Drosophila melanogaster: one gene and its partner. The protein of the gene in region 2 interacts with the protein of the main gene of each other region in a pairwise test. Each region holds a gene or a part of one and is shown on either strand. Other genes may lie near its edges.

What was found.
Region 1: the proteins of CG43155 (region 2) and CPT2 interact in a two-hybrid assay, tested with the Drosophila melanogaster proteins (one large-scale study listed by BioGRID).

What each region holds. Positions count from the first base shown.
Region 1 is NT_037436.4:2,979,356-2,984,361, forward strand, and holds CPT2 (carnitine palmitoyltransferase 2), read left to right. Parts: upstream 1-1,666; 5' UTR 1,667-1,767; coding exon 1,768-2,831; intron 2,832-2,892; coding exon 2,893-3,687; intron 3,688-3,804; coding exon 3,805-3,949; 3' UTR 3,950-4,196; downstream 4,197-5,006.
Region 2 is NC_004354.4:11,458,172-11,462,991, reverse strand, and holds the start of CG43155 (uncharacterized protein), read right to left. Parts: upstream 3,207-4,820; 5' UTR 3,111-3,206; coding exon 2,868-3,110; intron 1-2,867. Other genes in the region: HP5 (heterochromatin protein 5), read right to left, coding at 4,680-4,762.

The DNA of each region.
Region 1 (5,006 bases), on a different chromosome or scaffold from region 2:
AAGGATTCGAATCTGGATCCCCAGTCACGCTGTGCGTGCTAGAATGGTCAACAGTTTTATTGTCCGGCAAAGGACTCTGGAAACAAATGTTGATTTCTGCGCACAGAAAAGAAAAGGATTTTTTAGAGGTTTTTTATGTGTTTTCGCATCTGGCGGCGACAGTTGAAATTTTATACTACCGTTGGTTGTTAATGAGTGTCGAGATTGTATGCTTTTTAAACACATTCAAGGGTCCTTGAATAGATTTTGTTATTAACGGCGAAAAAAGTGGAAAAAATATGTCACAAAAGAGCGCCTTTAAATCTAACTTTGTGTTTACATTTTATATCAAAAACATTAATTCAATCTGTGCTAGTATGCAACATATTTCATTTAATTTTATTTATTTATTTTTCTTTCCAATTGAAGTCCTTTATCCCACCAGTTATTTAAAGTCGCAGTTGGTCTTTAAAATGCGCGGGGCAATGGCAAAGCAATTACCCATCGATTTGTTCGATTCGGAGGCGCTCAAGTGCTTAAGCGTCCTTTCACCTTTTTGGCAATGGCATCCTGGCGATTTTGGTCCGTGGATAAACAGCGTTTTGTTTGCATTTGCGTGGCGTTTATTTGTTTGCCCGCTGTTGATGTCTGCTGGTCGAGGAGCTTGGAGCTTGGACGACGAGGGTTTCCCGGGGAAGAAACAGATCTTCGGAGGGGTCAGGACATCTTGCAGACGTGGTGGGTCAAAGGCTCCTGCGGGTATTCCAACCGGTCACTGTTCCCAGGTAAGTCGGAAAAAACACAAATGGTTTACTTAAATTACGGGGCTAAGAAAGAAATGAAAATGCGCATAAAATTTTTATACTTTGTCGAATTTCACGAGCGTTCCTTCCCATCGATTCATCTGTGCACTTTGCAGTCGACGCTTGCGGAATAAAATCCACTGCCCCTCAATTCCTCAAATTAAGTAAAGTGAGTAGGGGAATCCCCTTTTCCATTTAAATTTGCATAAGAGGCATCGGCGAAAGCGGATGAGGATGCGGATGGGTTGCAGTGTAATTGGGCGAAGTGAAATTGCGTTAATATTTAACAAGCCAGCGAAAGTGCAAAAGCGAAGCGCATTAAATGCGGAAAAGGGATACGGAAACGTAGTCCTTCGGGGCAAAGTGCGAAATTATGCGGAGTTCAGGGAGATCCGCAAGCCCTTTCCTTTGCGAGCACGGACCTCAAATGTTAAATGTTAGCCATAAGGTCAGCCAAATGTGAAACTCGAGCCGTGAAAGCGAAATGTTTGACCGCGAAGAGCAGCGCTGATTTTGAGTGGTAATTTCATTTCTCATTATCGTCGTTATGGTAATTCAATAAAATCATGACAATTCAAAATTTCGTGCCCGGCATGCGATTGGAATCTGATTATTGCAAATTCAATTTATAGTGCTATAAATATAAAAAATTTACAAAAGATATTAAACATGAATTTTAACCCATATAATATAGTACAGTTATACATAATAATAATAAAATCCGCAAAGATCTATTTATCGTAAATTTCAAACATATACGATATTCAAATATTTTGGCGCCATTACAGGTACTGAAAAATACCAAAAATACCGTAAGGTAACTATCGATGACGGCGATCAGCTGTGATCATCAATGGCGAACAGCTGATCTGGCTCGCGAATTTTCATCTTGTTGTTGGACTTTCTGTTGTGGACTTTGAAACGTCGCCTCTCGAGTTTAAACAACAAAAGTTACTCAATTTGGAAAGCCATCGAGTGGATAGCCATGTTTCGGACCCGGGTGCACCGCAATCTGTCGTGGATATCGACGAACTCGTCGAGGACAACGACCACTCATGGCCAGCACTACCAATACCTGCAATGTTCCAAGCTGCCAACGCTGTACTTTCAGCGCTCCTTGCCGCGATTGCCCATTCCTCTGTTGGAGAACAGCTGTCGGCGTTTCCTGGAGGCCACCAAGCCACTACTCTCGCCGGCGGAGCAGGCGCAGACCCAGCAAACGGTGGAACAGTTTCGCCAGGGGATCGGCATGGAACTACACGCGAAACTCAAGAGCCATGATGCAGAGAACAAGCATACCAGCTACATCTCGCAGCCCTGGTTCGACATGTATCTAGCCGATCGAGCGCCCCTGCCACTCAACTATAATCCGCTGCTGGTGATGAAAAGCGACGCGCGACCGGAGTACCAGCAACAGGTGGTTAGGGCTACCAACCTGATCATCAGCTCGTTACGGTTCTGGCGATCTCTGCAGGCGGATCTCCTGGAGCCGGAGGTGTACCACATGAACGCCAAGAAGAGCGACACTTCCAGCTACCGCAGGTGGATGAAGGTGGCTCCCAAAGCCTTTGCCACCTACGCGTCTTATGCCTTCAAGGCCTTTCCGCTGGACATGAGCCAGTACAACCGGTTGTTTGGCACCTCTAGGATTCCTAGGATCGGCAAGGACGAGCTGGTCCAGTCACCGGACGCCAAGCACATTCTGGTTATGCGCCGCGGTCACATGTACGCCGTAAATGTGCTGGACTCCAGTGGATACATCGAGAGTCCCAGTGTGATTCTGGGCAGACTAAGGGCTGTGCTTAAGCTTGATGCAGATCGCGAGGCAGCCAGCGTGCCACTTGGTGTTCTGACCTCCGGACAGCGTGATGAGTGGGCCAAGACAAGACAGCATTTTGTTAGCAACACCAAAAATGCCGATCTTCTGGAGAGAGAGGTGGATGCGGCTCTGTTCTGCGTTTGTCTGGATGGCGAAGAAGATGGAGTCTTTAACGAAAACCAGCAGGAGCCGCTGCTCAAGCATTTGCTGGCGGGAAAAGCGCAGAATCGGTAAGAAGTCGACATTATGTAAAGCCTGCCTGATTCACAAAATCATCCTGTTCTGTTACAGTTGGTTCGACAAATCCATTTCCCTGCTTATAAGTGCAGATGGAACAACGGCTATTAACTTCGAGCACTCGTGGGGCGATGGAGTGGCTGTGCTTCGCTACTTTAACGAGCTCTACAAGGATACTTTGAAGCAGCCGTTTGTATCCACGGAGACAGTGCACACTCCCGCCGAAGGCGATTTTAGCAACGTGCGGCCCATCAACTTCGAAATCGACGATGCCACCAAGTCGGCCGTTTCGGAGGCTTATAATAAAAACGCCAGCATTGTAGATAATCTGGACATGAATGTGCTGAAGTACCCACACATCAACAAGCCCACATGCAAGCAGTATGGCCTAAGTCCGGACTCCATCATTCAGCTGTCCTTCCAGCTGGCTTATCGCCAAGCCTACAGCGGCTATGTGGGCAGCTACGAATCCTGCAGCACATCCGCCTTCCGACACGGACGTACCGAAACGATGCGACCGTGCACAAATGCCACACGGGACTTCTGTGAAGCTATCCTCCAGCCGGAGAGGAGCAAGCCCAGCGCCGGAGAACTACGAGCAATGATCGACAATTGCAGCAAGGTGCATGGCCAGTTAACCAAGGAGGCGGCTATGGGCCAGGGCTTCGATCGGCATCTCTTTGCCCTTCGGCACACGGCCCAAAAGGAGGGAATACCAATTCCCGATCTCTATGAGACTGAGGCTTACAAGCGCATTAATAACAACATCATTAGTACCTCAACACTGGGTTCAGATGCCCTGCTAGCGGGTTCCTTTGGTCCGGTGGTCAAGAATGGCTTCGGAATCGGGTAAGCTGACTGCCTGTCGAGATTGGGTATTTGAATGTACAAATGCAGCACCTATTTTTCAAGTTGCCTCGACAAATTGTTCACTAGCTGACAGTTGATAACCCATTATTCTTTCAGCTATTCGATTCAGAACGATTTTGCCGGCGCCATTGTCACCACGTACAAAAACCAGGCCGATGGGAAGGTGTTCATAGACAGTCTGGAATCGGCATTTGATAAAATTTGCGCTGTCATCCAGCAGAGCAGCAGTAGCAAGAAGTAGGAGAAAATCGTGAGGAGTCCGACCCCGAATCCAATGAATATGGCTTTAACGTAACAGGGAGATTTATTTTGATGCTTTTACATTGTATCCCATGTGTCTGAATTGCAATATCTTTATCTACAATTTATAGATTATACACTGAAAACATTCTACCCCATCTAAAGCATCTGTGTCTTTGCTTTTATACCCGCTGCTTTAATGGCTTTTGCGGCTGATGGGATAATAAATTGGCTAACATATTGTTGGGATGCTGCTGGCTTGACATTTGCAATTGAATACGAGAAATAACTCACGTTTTAAAACAATGCTGAAAACAACTTTAAAGTAAAGAGTTTAAGAAGTTTATATTAAAATTGAACATAGAGTTATGATAAACGAGCTGAAGTAAAATCGAATAAGAGCGGTTGAAAGCATTTAAGATTATTTTGCGTAAGAAAATGTTTTTTTTTTAAGAAAACATCTTTCGATCCTTTGTTTTCCTAAGTAAAATCAACACACAGAACGATGTATGGCACAAACCCTTTTGAGTTGGTTTAACTATTGAGTCTCCTTTTAAGCATGCGTAAACTTTGACCTTTCATTGTCACTTAAGTTAAACAAGATGTGTGCCCACGCACACCCTGTTCCCAACTTGTTTATCCCGGAATAAGTGGGGGAAAAACCCTTGCATTAAACAGTTTCTGATTAAAGATTTCCCACACGCTGACCCAGAAAACTTGGCCACCAACCCTTCGGGCCAAGTTGTTGCCTTTCGATTTGTGTCAGCCGCACACGTCAATCGCGAACTCCGCCTAAACATGGCGAAAAGTTTATCAAAACGTTGCCTTTTTGGCTGGGAATGGGGATGTCGCTAAATGTGCTGACGTTATCAGTTGATTTATCGTCAAATTTTGTGCCAACTGGCGTGGCGTTGTAAAAATTAATTAACTTGCTCGCCGAGTCTTCCTGATACGTACACGATTCCGCCTTAATGGGCGGCATTAAAAATTAAAAAAGGAGACATTTACGCGGCGGAGAGGTCATTAAAGCCAAGTAGACTCTTCTGCCAGTGGCGGAC
Region 2 (4,820 bases):
CGTTACATATTCTCTAAAGTCCACATAATTATTGCTGGTAGTTGCTAATAACTTGGCCTTTGTTGTCCAATGACCAGAAAGGGGAGAAAGTGGGAAAATGGGTTGGGTTGACTTGAGTCTAATTGGCCGTTTTGTTGTTTTGGCCAGCAACTTAATTCACTCGGCCTCTAACTTTTTCCGCTGGACAACTTTTGACAAAGTGAAATTTTTCACACACGCACACAAGGATACAGGGACACACAGATAAAGGGAGAAAGCTCACACACACACACATACGTGCAGGGAATCGACGACGCCTTGAAGTATGCTACAAAATGCTAATTAAAATGATTTATGGCCACTCATCCCACGAGTTTTTTTCTTTTTTTTTTTTTTTGCCATATGTGAAAGTGGGAGGCTGTTTGCTGGTAATTCGAGACCCACTCCCTTCGATCCCCTGGGAATTTGGCTTAATTAATAAATAAACTTGCTGGTGTTGTGTCGCGGGGAAAAAAGGAAGCGAACGCATTAAATAGATAAATGTCAATTGCTTCATGGCCAGCTCGTCAACAAAAGCAATTAAAAGTTTATGGGCTTGTGCCACCCAAAAAGTGATTTCACTTTAAAGCGGCTCATCTCCGGAAAATGGAGACACCCAAAAGGATGACGACATGGGTTTAGAAATATTGTTTAAATGTTTTAAAAAAGTACTTATCAGTCTATTAAAAATTGTACAAATTTTATTTTTAAATTTCGGGAAGCTTTAGATACTTTTAACTTATTCAAACTAACAAAGAGGCTATTAATAAACACAAAACTGTATATTTTCACCGAAAATCCAAAGATCACATCTTAAAGCTAAGTATTTTCAACTTTTGTTAAAACCAATATCGAAGAAAAGACGATGGGGTTCAAAAGTTTTTGTCGCTGGTCAAGTGACCGAAACTGATTTCCGGCAACGGAAAACATAGAGGAAAAACTGTGCGAAAACTTGAATGACATGTGATATGCTGATGTGGACACTTCCGCTCACGTCGCAGGATTCATTTCCGTTTAAAGGGTTAAGTAAGTGGGTGCGAAATTGCAAACCAAAAGCCGGAGGGTTAATTTTTCAGTTGGCAATATTTTTTATGCCACGTGGCACATAATTTAAGTACGATTACCATTTATTCATATAATTATTATTTCAACAGCTTAAATGCATTTTTCCTCCGTTTATTGGGATAAAGAAAAAGATCAAGCGATTGAGGCGTCGTGAAATCGGAACATAAAACAAATGCCATTCACCATGTGAATTTGAATTCGAAATAAATTTGATGAGCCATTTAAGTGAGAAGTGCGCATAATTGGCCAACATGTGGTGTGTGGCCAAGAGATTGAAGGGTCCCGTCCCGAACCGTTACGTTTCGTCCGTCGGAAAATTCGGAAAAATTTAGCTAGGGCGTAAAAGGGGGTGGGGATTCCTCGACAATCCATATGAATGCGAATGTGTTGCCTGATTAATGCATGGCTCTCCGATATATCAGCGAGGTGTTGATTGGGCCAAGATAATGCTGTTCGATTTCCCATTCGACGTGGCCGAGAATAAAATATCGAAGAACTCAAGGCGCCATGAATCATCATTAGTTGCCAAGGCAGTCCGTCGATGGAAGTACATTAAAATAGAGTCACTTTGCTAACAATATGTATTTTAAGTTCGCCAGCTCAAGTCAAAGGATGATTATTTAAGCTAATCAAACCATCTTTTAATACATTCAACAGAAATCTACTAATCTGCTTAGGAAAAACACTGATTATCGGTATAAATAGCCTGCTTTAGATGCTCCTTAATGATGGCTACCTCCATCGTACTATATATCCTATACATATCAGACATTCTCGATAAGCTTCGACATTCATTCGTTTGGCTCATTTAGCCCGTCACCCACACCATCGTATCCATTTCGCAGTGGCCAATTGTTGTAGTCCGCGGAAATTGAGAGGCAATATAACAAATACCCACCCGGCACGACACTTGGCCATATGTCAAGTCGTGGGACACAGCAATTAGGACTCCTGGCTGCTTCAGCTCCAACCTTTGCCTTGGATTAACTGCAGCCAGTTGTAGTTTGCAGTCGTGGACAACTGACGGCATCAGTTCCAAATACACATATGTACATATATATACAAGTATATATGTATCTAGAACTTGGCCAAGAGCTGAAACCACGACGTCATTGGCGAAAATGTAAATGTTTAGACAAGGCCAAAAAGGCCTGGACGTGGTCCACATGATGCACTGCCTCCTGCTCCGCCAGCCAGACAGATTTGGGCGTCTGGATATGTGGCGATATATGTGTGCAGTGGCAATTAGGGGAGGCGGGGCACTTAAATGTACAAAATAGTTTTATGACTTAATTTTGGTCTAATTTTTACTATTTCCCACTGCAATAAATTTGCGCTCTGTTTGGGTTATTGTTTTTAATCGCATTGGTACAGTGCACGATCGTTGGATTCATAATTTTTTATATATGCAACATTTATTTGAAGGAAGGATATAGTGACTTAAATTTGTTGGCTTAAAAATGCATTAGAGGGATATTAAATATTTTCTTTTTAGGCCAAGTTAAATCCCCTGCTCGATTGGCCACTGTATTTATGTGTGTTTTGCATTTCTTTCTTGCTCCAAACAATTTGAACGCTAGCCATTTTTCGGCTTTTCGCCCAACAACACAAATCATTTTGCATGTTCGCGGCAGCCGCAAAAGGCGAGCCAAAGGTAGGGGGGGATGGAAAAACAAAAATAAATAAATAAAAACATATTGAAAATAATTAAATATTTGCCTAGTTATGTTCGGGTCTGCTGGGCACCGAACTGGGCACACACGTTGCCCCCCACCATCGCTTACCAATCCGCCCACGCCGCAGTAAATGGACAGGGAGACGAGCAGTCCGATGTGATTGAGCGCCGACTTCCACTTCATCGACTGCCAGCAGGCGGTGCTCCTTCGTCCGCCGGCGGTTCCCTTGGCCAAGCCACCACCCTCGGCGGCATCCACACGACGGTCGAGATGCTTGAGCTTCTCCAGCAGCTCGGTGCTGGCCTCATCCTGCGAATCGTACTCCTTCACCGTCACCTTCTTCATGGGCATTCTGCACTCCGTTTCTGATTGTTTTGGCCGGCCTATGCCTAAATTACTTGTGCTATCATTTAATAGTGTGTTTTTTTCTTTCTTTTGTTTATATCTATTTAATTTCTTTCTTTATTTTCTTTTTGGTTTTCAGGGGCCCGGCCCGCTTTGGTCCTGTGAGTTCAACATTTCGGGGGCACGTCTCACGCAAAGGGGCAACTTTTGAAATAGTTCGCACTCGCGCCAAACGATCTGGAATTTTGACGCGGCCCCAGAATCCCGAGGAGAACCAACCGTCAACAAGTCAAAGTTGCGACTGTTTTGCTTTTGGCGCTGCATTGGATACGCGGGGCTCTGCATGAAAGGTGGCCACCTTTGGGGGCAAGCGTGTGGCAACATGTGGCAACGTTGGCCGCGAAACTGAACGAACGTAAAATCGTTGCATAAATTCGAAATAATACTTATTATAATAAGAATATATAAGAACGGAAACGCTGAGCGATGGTTGCTTGTGTATAGAAACATTTTATTATATTAATTATATAATAGAACATTAATAAAAACGAGCTTAAGTTATCCTGTGATTGATAAATATATCAGAAAGTTAAGTGTGTGTTGTTCATAAAGCAAGATAACATCTTTCCATTTATCTATTCAAATTAGTCACAAAAAAATCTCTTTCTAGCACATTAAATTTATTCAATCTGTATAAATTAACTGTAGAATATTCTGTGAAAAAAAAAACATGTTAGGTAATAAAAATAACATCATTTTTACATAGCTTAAAATAAACGGTACAAGACTTTTCACAATATGGCAACGTCAATGTTCGAATGTGGCAACATCTTCAAATGGCGGCAAATTTCGAAAAAGTTTCTCAGCCAATCCCATTGAAAACTGGCAACATATTTTATCCATTTTTAATCTGTTTTCTTTTTACATACATACATTTTATGATGATGATGTACATTAATACATTGAACTTACAGTACATTTAAGACGATCCATACTTAAATATATATATTTATATTTATATATGTGCATGAACGCAAGTGTTTCTTAAATCTAAGTTGTCAAAAAAAAAAAGGATGAGAAACGAACAATACGTATTCTTGAAAGTCAAACTAACGTAACGCTCTGTTTAAGTAGCTTAAACATTGAAAATTGATTTTCTGATTCCGCTTAACCGTTAATAATATTAAAATATTAATTTTTACGGTCTATCGCACACATTTGCAAGTTGAGTGAGTGAGCTGTGTTAAATTTTGTCCCTGTTTTGCTGACTAATTTAGCAATCATATAAGTGCAAAATATTAACGTTTGCACCAATAGCTTTCTCTTGCAAAAATACTTTGGTATTTTCAACGTGAGTTTGCATATAAATTGAATATGTCTTTAAAAATAAACGTAAGACTACTTCTTGATCGTAGGGAGAACTAATTATAAATTCAGTTAAATGTACAAATTAATCGGTCCTTAATAAACCTACGTGTGTGCGTGTGAGTTTGTAGCTATGTCTGTGTCTGTGTGTATGCTTCGGTTTCGATCTGTATCTGTCTATCTGTACTTGGTGCGCAATTTGCCAGCTTACTACGATTCTAACGCGGTCATTATTTCGTCCAGTGTACCCCTCGAGATGGCATGGCGGCTGGAGTTCAACTGAAAGTTGGGTTCTAAAAGGCATAAGCAGAGCAAATAGTTATTAGAAGGTGCATTCAAATTAACATTTAC